Linked DNA regions of Schizosaccharomyces pombe. Changing the gene in region 1 together with any one later gene gives a genetic interaction. Each region holds a gene or a part of one and is shown in the gene's direction. Other genes may lie near its edges. The genes, in order: cgs2, rhb1, git3 and sak1.

Region 1 (4,784 bases):
TTGGAAGCTTGGCTCCTCCTCCGTCGTATTCTACATCGCAGCCAACTATTAGTTGGGATGCAGCTAGTGAGTCTTCAGCGGGTACAACAACGCAGGGCGATACAAATAGACCCGACAAATCGAAAAATAGGTCACCTCCAATAAATTTTGATGGTACCTCGTATGATGCGGCTGGTAATGTTTTCAGTCCATCATCATCCAACAATCAAGCTTATCAAATGCACTCCATGCCTGCTACCGATGAAGTATAAGGAGTAATGTATAGCTTAGCACTAACAACCTTCACGCCAAAACCAAAGATCAAGTTGTGGAAATGTTTGTGCGTTGTGTTTCAAGTTAGTCCTAAAATCGAGAAATGCACTTTGTATATGAATTGAAGGGGATGTGTTGATGTTCAATGTATTTATTTTCTTTATAATAATTTCTTCAAAATTAGTTATAATTATTAATCTTAATTAAATTTACTCTATGTTTATTCGCTCAATTAATAAAAGGTTATTCACAATTTATTATGATTTTTCGTATAATGTTGCTATTGAGTCTATACTGTTAACATCAACCTTCATCGAATTCCGCTGGTGAGAAGTTTTAACGGAGGAATTCATAGGGTTGTCAATCCTGATAATGAAAGTGTAAAAGGAAATTTTCGAAAGCGCTTTTTTACATTTCTAATTTTGCGTAGTGTCATAAAATGCAATTCCTGGTAAAAACAAAGCCGCTTAATTATTAGTCTTGTTATCTTTTGCTGTAATAAAAGGAAATCTACCTTTTTATTCCAAAGGAACAAATAAAGCAATTCGATACTGCAGTGTGACATTCTTTGTGAGTAAAAAAAAAAGGGAGTAAAACAGAGAACGTATTCAAGTAATATTCTGAGAATTGTTTCTATTTCAAACTTTTATAGCAAGTTTCCAATATGCCTTTAGGTATAGACTTAATTGAAAAAAGACCGATCATTATCAAAGGGAAAATTGGGATATATTGCTAATTAAAATATCTACCTAAAGGCTGCTATGCACCTATGATGATTTCTCTCCATAGACCAACAAAAAGTTCAATGGAAAGCAATTTCAGCGGCACATACAAAAGATTCTTCAAATAGGTAATTTAGGAATGTTTCTTTTGATTATCTTGCATAAAGGAAAAGGAGATCATATTTTGAAAGCTCTTACAACGATTACCACCCTCCCTAACTGATGCAAACTGGTTCTCAGCAGCACTGACTGGAACTATCTAAGTACTCTATGAAAAAGTAAGAGTTAGTTTAGCATAATCAGATAAAATGACTGGGACTTACGAATCCTCAAAGTCCGATAAAGAACCAAGTTCATACGGAAATCTATATTACACGAGGTTCAGTTTTTTGTATGTATAATGAATTATTATTTTAAAAAACATATTAGTGTCCGATAGTTTACAATTGTTTGCTAGTCGGTCTCTTAAAGAGAAGGGCATAAACTTCTGCCGACATTGTTAAACAAGCAACAAAACTTCCCCTCAGAAATGTTAAACGATAAAAAAAGGAAACCTCTGGAATTATATAAAAAATAGCTCTCTCTCTTCTCGTTACGTGACATTCTTTAAGGGTGTATATTGAACCTTCGGAAAAATTGCTCTCATAAGGAAGTGATACATGTCAAACGTGTTTCATCAAAGTCGCATTTTTTTTCTTAATATCTTACTTAAAGCAGCAAAGCATAACTTCGTTCCTCTCCACTTAACGACTTCCATCCTTTTATTTATTCATAGCATACTTCTTCACCAAGCGGGCACATGAATAAGGATAATTAACACACTACACTATACCCCGAGTTTCTCCACATTTCGAGCATCGTTTATCGTACCCTAAATCTACGGTAGTAAATGTATGCTTGTAATAAATATGACGTCAACCGACATGTTTTTGTAGACTAGTGCATGCACCGGAGATCTGTAACTCTCCATAAGCCTAGCCATGCATGCAGCACTCGAAATCAAAGAAGCTGAATTTCAAACCGATCAAGTAGTAGGACTCGTAGAAAATTCTTTTACATTATATTCATTGGTATGAAAAACGAAAAATATTTTTTTTTTTGAAGAATTTCGACTAACGTTAACGAAAACAGGGACAAAATGTAAGAATTCAAACATTATGCATTGAGAGCCATGCTGACTTATTAGGGGGGTCCATTGGAGTCTTGCTGTAGCAGTCATTTGATTTCTGATGGCGCATTTCAAGAAATTATATCGCTGGATGGTGGAAGCCACCTATCGGCGTTGGTTGAGTTGATCCAGTCAAAACACCTGTCCGTCGATTCTTGGTCTTCCATCACCAAGTATGACAATTATACGGTGGAAAATGAATCATACGCAAAAGCCTGGCACCTTTCAGAGCAAAGGATTAAAACGTTTCTCATCACACACTGTCATTTAGACCACATCTATGGAGCCGTCATCAATAGCGCCATGTTTGGTCCTCAAAATCCTAGAACCATAGTTGGGTTAAACTATGTGATCGATACCCTAAAAAAGCACGTGTTTAATAACTTATTATGGCCTTCCCTCGACAAAGCCGGATTTATTAATTTTCAGGTGTAAGTAAATTCTTTCTCAATAGCTTCTGTCAAATGAAAATTTTTTCATTGTTTTAGTGAATAGGTTGAGGGTTGGGAAGGCAATGTTGAGTTTTGAAAATTTTTTATTTTCTTCATCTTAGTTGAAGAGATGTATGCTCGTCTTTTTTTCCTTCAAATCTATTTGCTGAACACACATTTATATATTTTGCATATATGTAAACTATCTGCTGACGCTTTGGTTGATTTGCATGGTTTCATGGTACTTGTGCAATTTTTTTTGTGAGACAGTGATATTATTTGAAAGATTGCAAAGATTGCAATAATAATTATATCTCTTTTTCTTTCACTGTTCTAATATCTTTTGTTCTTGTTCAAACAAGTTAATGAATTTAACTCTTATGCGAATTTGCTAAATCAACCCCATCGGCATTTCTCTTTCTCATTTGACAATGAGACTAACCTCTTTTTAGGGTTGAGCCTTCCATGTATACTAGTTTAACGACTACTTTGTCTATATTGCCCTTTCCCGTTAATCATGGCTCCTCTTTCGGTCAAGAGCTAAAGTCGTCTGCATTTTTATTTAGGAATAACCTATCCGACAGATACTTTTTGGCTTTCGGGGACGTCGAACCCGATATGGTAGCCTCAGAACCGCTTAACATTCATATTTGGAGAGCTTGCTCTAGTTTAATTGCTCAAAGAAAGCTTTCTCATATTCTTATCGAATGCTCCACTCCTGACATCCCTGATACTCTTTTGTTTGGTCATTTTTGCCCTAGACATCTAGTGAACGAGCTTTGTATACTCCAATCTCTGGTCCAGAGTTATGGCGTTATCATGCCTACCCTTACGTGTTTGCTCACTCATTTGAAATCACATCCTCTTCAGTCGGCGAATCCTGCCGATGTTATATTGGAGCAGTTAGAGTCGTTGTCTTCCAAAAGTTCTCTTTCAGTCACATTTAAAATCCTTCAGCGTGGTCAATTTTATAAATTTTAATAGCATCCCAGGGTCATGGTCATATATTCATTATATTTTTATTTTTTTTTTTTAATTTCTTTTAGGTTTCTCCATTTATTCGTTACGCCCTTTTATCCTTCCGCCGTTGCCGCATGTCTTTCTATTATTGAGAATTCTGTTGGAGGAATTTTGACTTTGTTGTTAATTATTGAATGCTAAAGCAATTAATTATTACCTTTTTTTATTTTTCATTACCAGTTCATCGTACCTCGCTTTGCTGGTTTACTCTCATTAGAATTTCACGCTTTTCTCATCGGACACTTTATTTTCAAAAATAGAATGCTTTTTCTTTGTTTGCCAATCTGCTTTACTTTTTAAATAGATTTCTAATTTGGTTTTTTGTTGTTGTTGACGAGGTTTATAGAACGATGGGTTAAAAGTCTTAACCAGATTATATACTTGAATAAATGGGTTATATTATATGACGATTTCTCTGTTCTAATATTGTTTACCTAGAAACAAGAGGAAGCATTCCTAAAGGGTAGCGGGTATATTAGTTGAGTGATGAATCAATATAGGTTTGCTCTGCTTTTTTCGATTGGATAGACTAGGAAGTATTCTGGAGGGTATGAAAGGAACAAAGTGTTCTATTACAGTTGGTAATGGTCGACTCTTGATTACGATGTTTAATTTGGGATAGAAAAATGATTATTATTTCTAGTTATCGCATATGATCGTAGGAAAAGCACATTACAAAGGGGAAACGAACCAAAACGGATGCAATGATCATAAAGGGCGCTGGAATAGTAAATTAATATAACAAGCTAGTATTCTTCTTCTTTCCAAGTTGCATTCCTTTCGCTTTGGGAGCAGAAGAAGCCTTTGCTGCAGCGTGATAAGACTCCATGGCAGATTCGTCTTCAACATTAGACGTAGCAAAGGTTGTATTAACTGTTTGATACCCAATGGATTCATACGCATCTGCACTGGGAAGATTCTGAGCCGCCCGTCTTGCAGCTTCTTTCTTTTGTAATTCAAGTTGTTTGATGCGGCGCTTCCTTTCTTCAGTTGCTTCAATTTCTTTGTTCTAGAAAGTGCATTAGTAAAACCATACAAAAAAAATTTCGATGACTCCACCCCTATGCTTCAACACGTACTCTTGATACAATTTCTTGAATTTTCTCTTCGTGACTCTCCATTTCCAAATAAGTTTTGATCTGTGTCAAAGATACATTGTCTCTGTAGCCAAGGCTGGTAGCTTCGTCAAAC
Region 2 (3,226 bases), on another chromosome or scaffold:
GCAAAGGGTCGTTAGTAATCCTGATTTGAGTTTACCGTCTTCACCGGTAAAACAAATTTTAAGAAATGGACTTCAGAATTCAAAGTACGGTTCTCATAAGACAGGACTGGAAAGGTCCGCGAGCTGTAGTAGTATTGATGCTTCCGCAAACCATTCTTCCACTACCTATCGGGAACAAAGATCGTATTTGATGGAGGAAGGATTAGATACTCAGCCAATTGTACCCCGTGAAGTATCCTCTGGTCGAGAATTGGATTCAACCAACCATACTATTGGTACAGAACGTGCTTTTTTGATAGAGGAAGACGTATCAGAAGATGATGAAATTCAAATGAAAAGTATACATGAACTTCGCTTTGCTGGAGAGCAGCAAAGGATCGTTGATGAAATTGAATACTTAGTGGACGGAGTGACTTTCTCAGGTAACTCTTCTGCTTCTCGCTATTTGAGTTTAATAGGAATCGCTGAAAAAATGTTTGACAATTCATTTCGTTTATGCTTAAAGTCGATACGGGATGTCTTCTTGCGAATATTTGAAGAAATTGATCCTAAAGATACTTTACACACTTTTTTGCAGATTTATATATTTGCAACTATGGCTAATGAAATGGATTGCATGAGTTCCTTGCTTGATGCTTACTCAAACAATGTTAAACTTCTTTTGCAAACGGCTATTACTTTAGAACCGCAGGTACCGGTTTCAATTTTGGCAAAAAGCTTACCAAAAAGTGTAAAGGGAGCCGTTCAAGAATTCGTTATAAAGGCAGAGCTTACTTTTAGTTTTAGCAATGAGTCTCTTGCTTCTTCTGATTCTATCAGTCTTGCAGCTATCGCTCTTATGAAGACGTCCTCGGGAGTTTTTGCGGAAAGCGAGTTGTTTACCGAATTAATCAATCTTTTAATAGAAAAATCCTACCCCATCTTGAAGGAAAACGATGGAAGCAATAACTTCTTACTTCATGCACTTTGTAGTTCTTTAGAAAAATTTACGGATTTCCAGGGATCAGAAAAGATTCAGAAGGTTTCACAGATCTTATCCTCAAAGTTACAAATTTTAATTGATGAACACAATGAAACAAATTCACCAAAAATTGACGATACAGTTGTCCATGCATGCAGTGAAAAATTGTTGCGTACTTTGATTCAAACAGTTAATTCTAACAGTGATCATGCGTTAGCGGTTTCTAAATCAGAAGTCCCATTGTTTGCTTATAAAATTTTACAAAAGTTTTCTAATTTTTCGTCCGATGATGAAACTACACGAGAACTAATTATCTTAATCCTTGGTCTTTTACTAGGGCTAGTTGAGGAATCTCATGAGTTTATTCAAACTATCACTCATGTTGAAGGTAAGTTCCTTTTATTAATATTTTTACTAATTCTATTTAGTTTCTTTCGGAGCTTCAGCACTCGATGTCCTCATTTCGTTTTATCAAAAGAACGTAAGTTGTACTACTTCTGTTGTAAGACATTTCTAACAAATGTAGGAAAGTATCGTAGAAATTAGTGGATATGTCGTAATGATTTTAAGCCATTGCTTTTTAAATGATCCCAAAGCGTTTGCCCAACTCAAGCCTTTGATATCTCAGTTTTACGAATCTCTACATAAATTTAAAAATTTTCATTTGAAATTGAAAGAGGAATTAATGATGATGGGTTCTAATGGACTAGCCATTGTTTCTATAATTGATGAACTACATAAATCGTTGCAAGACTACTTGCGCAGTGACTTGGTAAAATGACCTTTGCGGCGCGCTGGGAACGTGACATCCACAACATCGTTGCTTTCACTCACTTTTTTTTACGATCACTCTATAGTTAATAATTTGCCTTTTTAAATATTATAATCTTGAAATTTTCTAATTTAAACAATGGCTCCTATTAAATCTCGTAGAATTGCTGTTCTTGGCAGTCGTTCTGTTGGAAAGTCCAGGTAAGCGTTTGATTGAAGTTTATGCGCAAATAGGTTTACTAACCATTTTTTTTAAATAGTTTAACGGTGCAATATGTTGAAAACCATTTCGTTGAATCGTATTATCCAACTATTGAAAATACATTCAGCAAGAACATCAAGTATAAGGGTCAAGAATTTGCTACTGAAATTATCGATACGGCTGGTCAAGATGAATACAGTATCTTAAATTCTAAGCATTCCATTGGAATCCATGGCTATGTACTCGTTTACAGCATTACTAGCAAATCTTCTTTTGAGATGGTTAAAATAGTTCGTGACAAGATATTGAATCACACTGTATGTCAAATTATTAGAATTTTTAAATTTTTTACTAACCTACTTGCTATTAAGGGTACTGAGTGGGTCCCCATTGTGGTTGTTGGCAATAAGAGCGACTTGCATATGCAGCGTGCTGTTACCGCTGAAGAGGGAAAAGCATTGGCCAATGAATGGAAATGTGCATGGACAGAAGCTTCAGCTCGCCATAACGAAAATGTTGCTCGAGCATTCGAGCTAATTATCAGCGAAATTGAAAAACAAGCAAATCCTTCCCCTCCTGGTGATGGAAAGGGTTGTGTTATCGCCTAAGCTTCTGCTTGAATTTATCATATTATGGATTAATTTATTTTAACTGAATTAACGATTTTATCTTTGCTAATGCAAGATATGGGCTTACATTACATGAGGTGATACTTTGCACACAAACGTGTTTTTTTACACATGGGTTTACAAGATTTCGACTCTTTATTTCAAATATACAAGTACCTAAACTATGGTTTTAAAATTTAGTCAATGTAATACATAGTGGAGAAAGTACAGCCAGACATTGTAGACGTAATTTGTTGAGTTAGCTCTTCGGAAGTTTTAAACTAACCAAATTAATTTTTAGACATAGTATTGTTTATTAACATCTATACAAAACTATTTTGAATATTTCCCAAAATCGACCTTTTACCACTTTTCTTCATGAATCACTTAAGCTTCAGCTTTCCGCAATCGAAAGTGAAGGATATCCGTTTTACCTGGGACAATAACATCAGATTCGCCGACGTTTCCATTTACACCCACAATAGACATTGCTTCTCCACCCAATACCATTTGAGATACCTGTCCAGCAGTCGTTCCTTGCTTCACTAAGATGCAATCTCTGAAAACACCTTCATTAGGAGAGTTTGCAAAATTGTGAACGTTTTTAACGGGAAAAACTGGAATCAAATTTAAAAGTTCCATTGCCTTTGCTAAAACATTACAAACTCCAGTTGAACCGTGTCG
Region 3 (6,319 bases), 270 kb from region 1:
CCATTATTGCTGCTACGCCGCTGAACTCTCAGACACAGGCTTCGTGGGTTGCTCAACCGGAGAACCAAGCATACGCAAATTTGATTCCATCACCCCCAACGACTTCACAAATCCTACCAACAGAACTTACTGAAGAGGAAAAGCAATTACGCTCCAAGGTATTATTCTATCTAAAACAAGACAGCTTCATCCAATTATGTCAAAGTTTGGAACGGGTATGGAACAAGATGTAGGAAGACAGACCAATTCAACTTAATCCCAAATTTAAAAAAGTAGTAAAAATGGAACGAAATCAGGATCGGAATGGTTATTTCGACAAAATTGATGTGTGACCACAATTTGGCAACCAAATGAGAAACTTCATTAAGTTCACATTCTTCGAGTACCGTGATAAAACATTTGTTGCAAATTTTGACATTATTTAACGAAAAGTTGGTCGAGATCTCAACTGCATATGATCGTTGCTGAGGATTAGCAAACAGAAACCGCCAACACAACAATGTTGAAATAAATTTCTCTACTTGTTGCATGACTCTTTTCCCTTAGGCTTGTCCATGCAGAGCATTAAAATCAAATTGAGAAGATCCCGTTCCGATCCTTGGGGTGTAAGCCTCCACCACGACACATAATCGGTATCAAAAGACAACTCTGAAAACTTTTTGATGGGGGAATTGCCGCAAGTACAGCATGAATACTAGTGTTAATAATGGGTCAGGTTACAACGGTTAAAATTGAGTTGGTGGTTGGTTTTGATAATTGACTTAACAATCCACGAGAGGAGTTCATGACATTAAGTACGAAAATGGTCAAATAGTTAGTTTAACTTCAAAAATAGACGAACCAAGTGGAGAAAGTAAATGTTCCGAGCACCAAAAAAAAAACATGATATTTTTTAAAGGGATGAAACAGCTAGAACGTTATGAGTGTAAAAAGGATTTTTTTTTTTTTTTTGGGTACTTCCGAGAGAGACAACAGTCTACAAAGCTTCACAATGATTTCAATGTCCGTGAAGTAAACCTTAAAATGTCGAATCGACTTTGAAGGGTTGCATGCGAATTATCAAATAATGTTTAAAAGTGTTGTCAATGGAAAATGAATCCCGTTTCCCATTTCACTTAATCTAGCTTATCTGCCTAATCGGCACTTAAGGTAGATGGAAACCAGAGAATATTCTTTTTTCCTCAAAACAAAAACGCCCCCGCTAGTAAACCTAAAGACAATACCGACTAACGATATTGTGATTTTCACTTGGTGGAATTGGCGGAAATGTTTTCAAAGATATGAAGGCATAACCGGATCAAACGGTTTCGACAATGCTAATAGAATTCTCTTCACGTGGACGAACCGGTTTCCAAGGAGAATAAAGACATAATAATAAAATTTAACACTCCTTGTTTTATTTCGACAATATTTATTGGTCTGGTCCGAATTGTTCATTTTGGTAACTACAACATTACTCCCTATTTTTAAGCACGTTTTCATTACCCCTAATTGAAACTTGATTCTATCAACTTTCAATTTACCGGGGCTCGTTTTATTATTCTATTCTCACCATCATTCGATTTTCGCTTCATTTCTGTTGAGGGACTGCTTCCTAGATTGGTGTTTAACGCTTATCGCAACGCATGGAGTTGCATTTCATCCATTTTCTTTTGAAAATAAAGTGTGACCTCTTCTTGTGCCTAATATTGACTTGACTTTAAACACTGTAAAAATAAACGCTGTTTTTTAAAACCATCAATAACTTTAAATCATCGGTTCCTTTTTTTCTTTTATAACGAGGACTTTCTCATTAACGCACTCTGAAATGATTCTTTTCACCCTGATTTTTTTTATGCGATTGTATTTGCTCCTCACGATATACTATACTAATCACTATCGTACTTAAAAAATAGGCCGATCGTCCGAACCTCGTTTGTCTGTGCAAAAACAACTCTCGTCATTCTTACACAAAAATTTCGTTTACAGCGATACTACAAATTTTTTTCATAAGTTATAATGGTTGGTGGTAGCACATCTAGGAGTGTGAAAGCATCGCCGATATTGTGTTAGTGCGACAAGGCTCATCAAGGGATTAGGGAAATTTTTTCTTCAATAGTCTTGCTAGAAAATTACTCGGAATTTGAATCGTTGTCGATATTTTTTTTTCTGAAATTACAATTGTTCATTGTCTCTGCGTAGGTGCAAATTTCTGATTTGCTCTACAGCTTGTGATCTTAAATCTACTTAGTCAATCGACTCTGTACTATTGACGCCTGGGCCCCCTCACATAATTCAATTGCGATCTTTTTTTTTATTCTTCTTCTGTGGACTTAAGGTGCGGAGACTTTGGTTTATTTGTCTCCTCTTGTGTTTCTGTCAAGCCCGTGTGCTTGCATATTTTTTCAGAAAAATCCCGCATTGGTACTTAACTACTGTACTTGCTATAACACCTTATCCATTAGTCGTTGAGGTATATTTGTGCATATTCACTACACACTCATACACAACAGCAAAGGCGGCAACTCTCCGCCATCATTACTTATAATCAAGCCAACTCCATCAGCCAACCCAAACCACGGCGCCTTCAATTGATTTGTCTTTTCCTTAATTATCGGTAAATTTCACCGATTTGATTTAGTACCGCTTTATTCACTGTACGGCGTTAATTGCAAGCCATACCGCCTCCGATTTCCCTATTCTTCAATATCCTTAAGAAGGTTCGCCACGCTATTAAGAGCCTTGCAAAACGTGCATAAGTGGCTTTGAGCTCTAAGTGACTTCACTAGTGCTTTCTTTATAAGCACAATACATCGTTGGTTGTTCACGTCAATTGCGCTTTTCTTCTTGCCAAGAGTGTCGAGACGGGACTGCGCTTTATTAATAATCGTCGGCACCGTTTTGCGTCCGGCTTTCCTGGTTGCATTCGTTTATCACTTTTGAGCTGCTTCGTCGGCCACGATTAAAGGAAAAAGCAGTAGATTTACTATTTCAACTTTTACCTTTAACAGTTTAATCGTGTGTCTACAACTTTCGAAAGAATAGTTGAGTTAATTGAAAAGTAAAGACGAGAAGCTTGTTTTTGGAAAAAAGAAAACAGAAACAAAAATAAAAGTACGGGAATTCAAATTCATATTCGAAACAAACTCGTTTAGTTTAGAGAGCTCCTTCTATATTGCCAGTTTGCTAAGTTTTTTACATCAACTTGAAGAGACTGTTTATATTCGCGAACGAAGCAATTTATAGAAAATCGAGGGTCAGATATGCAATCTTGGGTAATTGGATATACGAGATATACTATTTTTTGCACTTCTTAAGGGTAATAGGACTGATTACCCAAGTGGCTGAAAATTCTGTTTTGCTTTCTTGTTTGTCTATTTGAACATTTCTGAAGTCATAGATTTGTCTTTGGAGTATTCCTTTTTTTTTTGTCTTTTTTTTTGTTTTTCGTTCTGATATTGCTTTTCTTGTTTTTTACTTTCTCACCTCCTCTCCTCTCTTTTTTTTTCCTGTCTTCTTGAAGAGAAGTTTAAACTTTGTAATAAGGAACAAGGTTGCTCATGCTTCATTTAGATTATACGTTTAATGTTTCCGATGCCACGAGTACGAGTTCCATCATCATTGTCTCTCGCAGAGAGTTAGCTAACCTGAGAATCATGGTCATTATAGCTTCAGCCATATCTATCGTTTTCAGCTTAATTGCTATCTTCTGGCGATGGTCTCGTCGGCGAACAATACGTGAACAATTTCATATCGCTCTTTTTTCTGTATTGTTTATTCGTTCCATTGTGCAAATGATTCATCCATGTCTAGCATTAAGCGATCCTTTTTTTTGGGCTCCAAAACATCGATGCTTTACAATTGGATTTTTTCTTTTGGTACTTGTTCGGATGACTGATTATTGGATTTTTATCAACATATTGCATAATGCTCTTTTGGTGCTTTTCCCCCATGTTGATACTGAACGAAGGGGTCTATATCGTTTTCGGCATACTGTGTTTACACTGTCATTTGTAATTCCTTTAACTATTGGCGGACTTGCTTTTACCAATAAAAGAAATACATTTGTCAATTTACAAACCCGATGCTACCTTCCCTATACCCCTGTACGATTCATGTTTGGTTTGAATTGGTCATTTGATTATGCGCTAAGTATTGCAATTATTGCTTTACAAACTTGCATGTTCATCTCGATCAGAAGGAAAATCAAACGTTTCAAGAAATACTCACATCAACAAACAAATGTGTTTGATACTTTAAATGTCATTGATTCGTATCCTACCGCTCCGGATCAAGTAGCTCTTCCACCATTTCCCGACACCAACAGTACTTTAACATATACTCCATCTAATTCTCAATCCATTTACTCCTCGCAGTCTCAACCTTCTCCCTATTCGAGACCGTTACTATCCTCTGTGCATCCTAATTTGCCTCCTGGTTCGCAGTCTACTCCTGCTAATCTAAATCAATCAGGAATACATTTCGAACAGGATTTTAGGGATAGTCCAAATCGCACAAATGGCCTTGAAGATCACACGAGTTTTAAACTCAGTAGTCCATTGACTAGTGACGAAGATGGTGCTTCTAGTGTTTTGGCTGCATATGGAAATGATATGCAAGATGATCCCCTCCTTAAACAACGGAAACGCATTTTAAGTCAGTCTAAGTTTTTGTTTGCTTATCCTGCAATTTTTATCTTTATGTGGATTCTCCCTCAAATACAGATTATCGTTATACTTGCCCAACCGTTGCACTGCTCTGGTTCATGCAAACGATTCGCATTTGTTGCAGTCTTTGCAGACAACTTCGTTGCCATCTTTATTGCCTTGTCAGATTTTATTTGGATTTGTTATCGTGGCTACACGTATTTGAAGGAAAGAGATTCGAGTAAAAGTTATTGGGATCAAATAAAGGAGTTGACTTTAAAATGGTGGCGGGGTAAATTTGGTGAGGAAAAATAGAAGGATTTGTTCTTTTTATTTTTGTTTATGGTGAAGTCTCACAAGCTCCTCTTCTTGTATTATAATTTCTTTTTATGACGATTTTATTATCACTTTACTTCTTAAAATTTTCTCATAGCCTTTGCATTCATATGTCTTCCTTTTTTGTTAAAGCCATCCAGTGAATGACAATGGAATGTGAATGGAAACAACTGTGGTAAACCAACTAATATTTTAATATCTCCCATTTTTGCATCACCTCTAATATATGTCATACTTTAATTTTCGCTTCCCAGAATTTATTTCGAAGTATTAAATTTTGGCACTACTTAACTTGGCAAAAGGCTCGGATTGGAAGATGGTTTAAAGCTTGGCTGCTTCAAATTGATAAGGCCGCTCACAATTATCGATGTATATATATGTACTGTGTCTATGACAGTTTTCTATTCATCTCGGGGAATTCATTTTTGGAACGCTTAGTCGCCTAAACAATTCTTCCTTATATAGAATGTTTATGTTCAGCTTTACCAACTATCATTCACTCGTTTTCATTTTTCAGATGCTCTTACATTTTACTGCTTGCATTAAGCATCTGTCTTCAAAACTATATTCAAAATTTATGTCCCCAATACTATATTTCCTCAATACATAAAATGGATGGATTGTGCATAGCAATACGTTTATGTTCTTATTTTGTATATGTCGATGTGCGAATAGTCATTCACCATTAGCTATTCTTTTGTTGTGGATAAATCGCTTTTCTTCCTATACGATTTGTAAAATTGCGTCGGACATTTGTTCCATGCCTTCTTGTTACATATGAATGTGTTAATGTTTACAAATTTAATAATGTATTTTTTAGTTTTTCTTTACATTTGGTAAAGCAGAATGGTAGCACAGTATCTGATTGCTTTAAGCGTTTTAAGTCAATTGAGCATCCCGTGATTAGTAGGTTTTTGTATTGAAAACTATACGGTTATAGAGAAAAAAAGTAGATGTAAGATGGTTTTCTAAATAAAACAGTTAATTTTATTACATTGTAGTATATAAGCACGCTTGCTTGATTTTATTCTTTTCGGTACACCACCGCGAAACGCGACTCGTAACTTGTACTAAACACACCACTGAAAAGTAGACTACTCGTGGAATCAGCTGTAACTTTATATTCAATTATTTAAAAATCACTCTCTAAAAGATCGCAGATATATTTTTAAGTGGTTGATTTGCTTTTTCATCGCTCTTTAATTCACCCTAACAAACTTTCATAATTTGAGATAATACGTGCTCATGGCTTATGATGCTTTTGGCAAGCCGGGCTATGGTCCCGACTTCAATAGCGCTTTTTCTCCAGGAATGGGAGGAGGCGCTGGATTTAATGAATATGATCAATCGAGCCAGCC
Region 4 (4,852 bases), on another chromosome or scaffold:
TATAAAGTGAACAAATAAATAAAGATAAAGAATAAATGTAATGAAAATAAAAAAAAACAGCTGTGTTATAATCCAACTGATTACAGCTCGCAGACAATTTTTTCAAAAAGGAACAAGGCCGTAGAAACGAATGCTACACTTATGACTAGGTCAGAATGAAAACAAGCAAAATATAGGAGGAATGTTCAATGACACGCAGATAAGACAACAGGATAGAAACTTTTCTTCTCTACCAAAGATAGTTGATAAATGGTATCAAAACGGGATTATTTTTTTGGTAAAATCAAGTAGCTAAAGTTCATAACCATACAATTAAAGCGTTGCAATACCTCAGAAACTGAGAAGATGCCTATAACAAAAAATGGGATAAGAAACCCAAACTATGGGAGGAAAAAAAAGATTAAAGGCGGAAAGTGATATTGTTAGAAAGTATGGAGAAAATCCTACAATGGTGGGTATTTGAATTCTTCATAAAAGAAGGATAGTTTACATGGAGCGAGTCATTGAATGAACTTTAAGCCGTTAAAAATCTACCGAAAATAGCTCGTTTAAGCGTGAGGTTATTTTTTTTTTATTTTTTAACGAATTTGTTACAAGTGTCCAGAAGTTCGTAAAACTTGAAGAGAGCAAGTAAATTTGTATAAACAAACATGTTTTTTAAAGTATAAAAACTTTGTAAATGATATTTAAGTTGGTGTAGAAATTTAATGTAAAAAAATTTTGGATGCTTTTTGTGTACGATAGATCGACTAAAAAAACATACAAGAATGCGCAGGTCATGCCATTCTTTTTTTTTCCATTAATTTATTCCATATTGACTCGCCATCCCCACTTTGCGGTAAATAAGCGCTGCAAAGTTTCTCGTTGATTTTTACTTTCCTCCCTCTACCACTCCTAAGAAGAAAAAGGAAATTTTTTGACTAAATAGTCATGATTTCAGCAATATTCTACTTGTGTTAGTGATGTTTTAGCAGTAGACAATGATTTTCAAAAAGCTCGAAAATACGGGTTTTCCGCAATACCCGCTACTATTTTGGTAGAAAAACAAGTCATTGTTAGTTCGTCGTTTTAAAAACGCTATCGTGAAAATGAAGATTCTTTTGAAAAGATAAAAGTCTTTTAAATCCGCAGAAAAAAGAAAAAAGAAATTAAACAGAAGAAGCTTGTATGGACTTTACTTCGGCTATTTGCATTCATTCTTCACCTCCTTATGATTGGTGTGTGTAAGCATGCAAGCGACTGCTTTGGTTTAGGTGCAATGAAATTCACTATTTCATTTAACGTTTCAATGGTTCAAGACTTCGCAACGACGAATAGGATCATGGATTGATATCGTAAATAACAATTAACAAGCCCGAAGGAGGTGGAAAGAAAAGCAATTTGATGTAAAATTAAGCTAGCGAAGAATTAAGAATGTAATCAAGCGCCCCACTGCAGTGCCGTGATTATCCTTGTCTTTTAAACACCGAAGTTTAAAATCCTTGCGCTTAACAAGCGATAGTGATCGACGGTGGAAACATTTTTTTTACGACCTCGAGGAGTTGGCGCTTTCTTTGCCCATAAGCATCTTCTTGTCTTCACCACACTTGAGCATTTCCGACTAGCCAAGGCTGGTCAATTTGCCCCTCAAATATTTTCTGAGGATTTAATAGTTACGACGTATAGAGGGTGCTTTTTAATTTTTGGTATCTTAAAAAAGGTTTGTATAGTACCGGTTGGATGTTGGCAAGTAGATAATTTTTTGTGGTAAATTTTTGCACTTCCGATAAACGTTCTGTCAGGCACAGGATTATGAATCCATCTGATTTACCAGGTCAAATACCTCTGTCTAGATCAGATATGAATGTCCAAGATCAATTGGACCCGGTTCAACGCTTTGATACTCATTTTATGCTTCCCCAGGAGGAGAATTTTTTGAATCGCCCCTCCATAACCTCCGAATCTGCACATCCACGAGGAAGTGATTTAGAGCAAGAGACAGAACTAAAAAGACTTGCGTTGGAACATGAACATTACTCTTTAGAGTCGCTAGCGGAAAAGCTGCGAATGGACCACGTAAGTGCCAATTCGGAAAAATTTCGCCAGGTTTTTGGCATATGTTGGTTAAAGCGTGCTTGTGAAGAACAACAAGATGCTGCTGTCCAACGAAATCAAATATACGCTCATTACGTCGAAATCTGTAACTCTTTGCATATCAAACCTCTAAATTCCGCTTCGTTTGGAAAACTGGTTCGTTTGCTCTTTCCTTCCATCAAAACCCGACGTTTAGGCATGCGTGGCCACTCAAAATACCATTATTGTGGTATTAAACTGCGTGGTCAAGACTCTTTTCGCAGACTACGTACCTTTTCAGATTCAAGTCTTTCCCCCGTTTCCTGTTCTTCGTTTCCCAAACCTATTCCCAATCATTTTGAAAACGATGTTTCTTCTATTCAAAACACAAATCAGCGTGTAGAAAGCAGCCCTGCATCGGTTAATGCTGCGGCTATAGTTAGAAAATCCGCTGTCACCCCTTCATCAGATCCTTACAATTCGCCTCCTCCTTCTATACCTTTGCTAGGAAGTCAAACCAATTTGCAATTGGCTCCTTCTTTTGCTGCTCCACAAGCCCATCCCCTACCTTCACATCTTTCACAATCCAATGTTCCGCCACAACTTTCTCATTCTTCGGTACCTTCACCTGCACCACCCCGTTCTGTGTCCCAACCGACCTATTTTTCTCAACCCATGCCTCAGTTTTCTTCTTCGTTTGTACCCGGTACTTCTTCGATAGTACCTACCTTGCATCCTGCTTCTGCACAAGAAGATTTTAATCTTCAACATTCCCTATTCTTCAAACTTAAACTTAAATTCTTGCCTCCTCATAAGCTTCCTTGGATCCCATCATTAGACGTGTCTTCATTTTCCTTACCTCCTATTGACTATTATTTAAATGGTCCATACGATAATGTCGAGGCGAAATCTGCATTAATGAACATTTATTCTTCGCATTGCATTACTCTAATTGAATCAGTCCGGTATATGCATCTCAAGCAATTTCTGTCCGAGATCTCTAACTTTCCCAATTCCCTCTCTCCTTCTCTTTTAGCTTTGCTGTCCTCTCCTTATTTCACGAAATGGATTGAGCGTTCTGATACCGTTATGTACAGGGAAATACTGAAGTTGCTATTCCCTATGACTCTTCAAGTGGTACCTCCGCCAGTCTTGGTGCTACTGCGTCATTTAGCTGAGAATCTCGTTAATCACATATCCAGCATATACGCTTCTCATTCATCTTGTCTTCTCCAAGTCAAATCTGAGACTGCCGCAATCTTTAGTAACTTATTGTCTCGTCTTTTGCGTGTCAACGATACGGCTCATGCTGCTGCTAGGTTCCTTGCCAACCCTGCCGACAGGCATTTAATTTGTAACGACTGGGAACGATTTGTCAGTACAAGATTTATTGTACATAGAGAATTAATGTGCAATGACAAAGAAGCAGTAGCCGCGTTGGATGAGTGGTATTCTATCCTTTCAACCTGTTCAAATCCTTCTGAGCTTTTAGACCCTTTGAAGGACAAACATGAAGCCAGTGATACATCAATGAACAGGGTCGAACTTCGACAAATTGATGGTGTTTTAGATCGTATGGCAGATTTTTTTCTGGAGTTGCCTTCCAGATTTCCCTCCTGCTCTCCTAGAATGTTTCTTCTATGCCTAGGCGCTTTACAAACTAGTGTGCTTCGTGAAATCACGGTCAGTGGAGGTGAAGCATTTGGGGCTCTTTGGGTAATTAGATGTTGGGTCGATGAATACATGACTTGGGTGGCAGAGATTGGCGGATACCTCGATGATAGTTATGATGAGCTGGAACAGCATCATGCTAACTTTCATAATAAAGCTGGAATATCTCAGAGTAATATCCCTCCTCATTTACAGGAGCACCGTCAATCCCAGCAACACTTCCAACAAGACATCGAAGCTTTGCAATCACAACAACAACAACAAGCCACTAAAAATTCCTTGATGGAAGCTGCCTACCAGAATGCTCAGAAGCAAAAGGAAGACGACTATATATCCATTGTATTTGATACAAATGGTGCTTGTAGTTGATGTACAATATAGTTGACCCTTTTTAGGGCTTCGAAAAAGCAAGCGTAATTACACTGACAAAAGTTAATATCATTCATATTATTGTTTTTGTTTTTTAATATATGTTTCTTTTGTTCAGGAGGTCTATTTGTTTAAGTCTGTGAACTTTTGAAATGCAATTAGATTACTATAATCCTGGCGCTTGTTTCTTATGGGTGAACGTCCATACATATACCAAATTGAAAGTGACTATACTTTATATTTGTTTTTTATTTCTTTTAAAATTTCACTGTCAGTAAATAGAGTTTCAACATTTTTGTCTTTAATTTTGATATCGACTATCACATATGTATTGATTAATATAAATGTTCTCCGATAACTATTTTATAAAACCTATTTAAACTATTGAGTGTAATTATTGCATTTCTCTGGCAGTAACAAGAATATTAAGCCCATACAAATGAGGAAATTGGCATCGATATCATTCAACAAGAATAGCGAACCCCCAAAAAAACAGCATCATACTAAAAGCGAACTTTCTACGAGAAACTTCGTGTTTAAAAAACAAGACTTCAAATAAAATGTTTAAATATTCCCCTTAAAGACCATATATTAAATTAAAAAAACGACAAAATAACTTAAACAACGGAAAATGGAAACATCAACCACTATTTCAAGTAAGAAGGTTTTCGGCGCTGCTGAAGTTTTTTATATTGCCCCTTCCGTCCACTCATTTTCGATTTTTGTAATTCTAGATATTTTTTCTTGAAGTACGATCGTC

The links.
Region 2: of cgs2 (region 1) and rhb1, extra expression of one rescues a mutant of the other (dosage rescue), as found in Schizosaccharomyces pombe (one study listed by BioGRID).
Region 3: of cgs2 (region 1) and git3, a mutation in one rescues a mutant of the other (synthetic rescue), as found in Schizosaccharomyces pombe (one study listed by BioGRID).
Region 4: of cgs2 (region 1) and sak1, changing one suppresses a phenotype caused by changing the other (phenotypic suppression), as found in Schizosaccharomyces pombe (one study listed by BioGRID).

Annotation. Positions count from the first base shown.
Region 1 is NC_003421.2:1,809,802-1,814,585, reverse strand, and holds cgs2 (dual-specifity cAMP/cGMP phosphodiesterase Cgs2), read left to right. Parts: upstream 1-1,942; 5' UTR 1,943-1,954; coding exon 1,955-2,044; exon of another isoform or gene 2,045-2,105; coding exon 2,106-2,114; exon of another isoform or gene 2,115-2,160; coding exon 2,161-2,573; exon of another isoform or gene 2,574-3,025; coding exon 3,026-3,554; 3' UTR 3,555-4,249; downstream 4,250-4,784. Other genes in the region: SPRY domain membrane protein, specificity factor required for ubiquitination Ear1, read left to right, coding at 1-251; coatomer delta subunit Ret2, read right to left, coding at 4,327-4,602, 4,673-4,784.
Region 2 is NC_003423.3:473,143-476,368, reverse strand, and holds rhb1 (Rheb GTPase Rhb1), read left to right. Parts: upstream 1-1,871; coding exon 1,872-1,933; exon of another isoform or gene 1,934-1,992; coding exon 1,993-2,251; intron 2,252-2,305; coding exon 2,306-2,542; 3' UTR 2,543-2,699; downstream 2,700-3,226. Other genes in the region: wpl1 (WAPL family protein), read left to right, coding at 1-1,349, 1,390-1,442, 1,488-1,742; SPOM_SPBC428.15 (Obg-like ATPase), read right to left, coding at 2,930-3,226. UniProt on the Schizosaccharomyces pombe protein: Binds GTP and exhibits intrinsic GTPase activity. Regulates entry into stationary phase when extracellular nitrogen levels are adequate for growth.
Region 3 is NC_003421.2:1,541,802-1,548,120, reverse strand, and holds git3 (G-protein-coupled receptor Git3), read left to right. Parts: upstream 1-2,025; 5' UTR 2,026-3,539; coding exon 3,540-4,940; 3' UTR 4,941-5,788; downstream 5,789-6,319. Other genes in the region: meiotic recombination protein Rec7, read left to right, coding at 1-233; single-stranded DNA-binding protein Ssb2, read left to right, coding at 6,207-6,319. UniProt on the Schizosaccharomyces pombe protein: G protein-coupled receptor (GPCR) that senses glucose and signals via the heterotrimeric G protein alpha subunit gpa2 to activate adenylate cyclase and PKA signaling, and suppress sexual development and gluconeogenesis.
Region 4 is NC_003424.3:3,146,447-3,151,298, reverse strand, and holds sak1 (DNA-binding transcription factor Sak1), read left to right. Parts: upstream 1-1,579; 5' UTR 1,580-1,791; coding exon 1,792-4,092; 3' UTR 4,093-4,351; downstream 4,352-4,852. Other genes in the region: rRNA processing protein Fcf2, read right to left, coding at 4,740-4,852. UniProt on the Schizosaccharomyces pombe protein: Positively regulates cyclic AMP-dependent protein kinase-mediated exit from the mitotic cell cycle.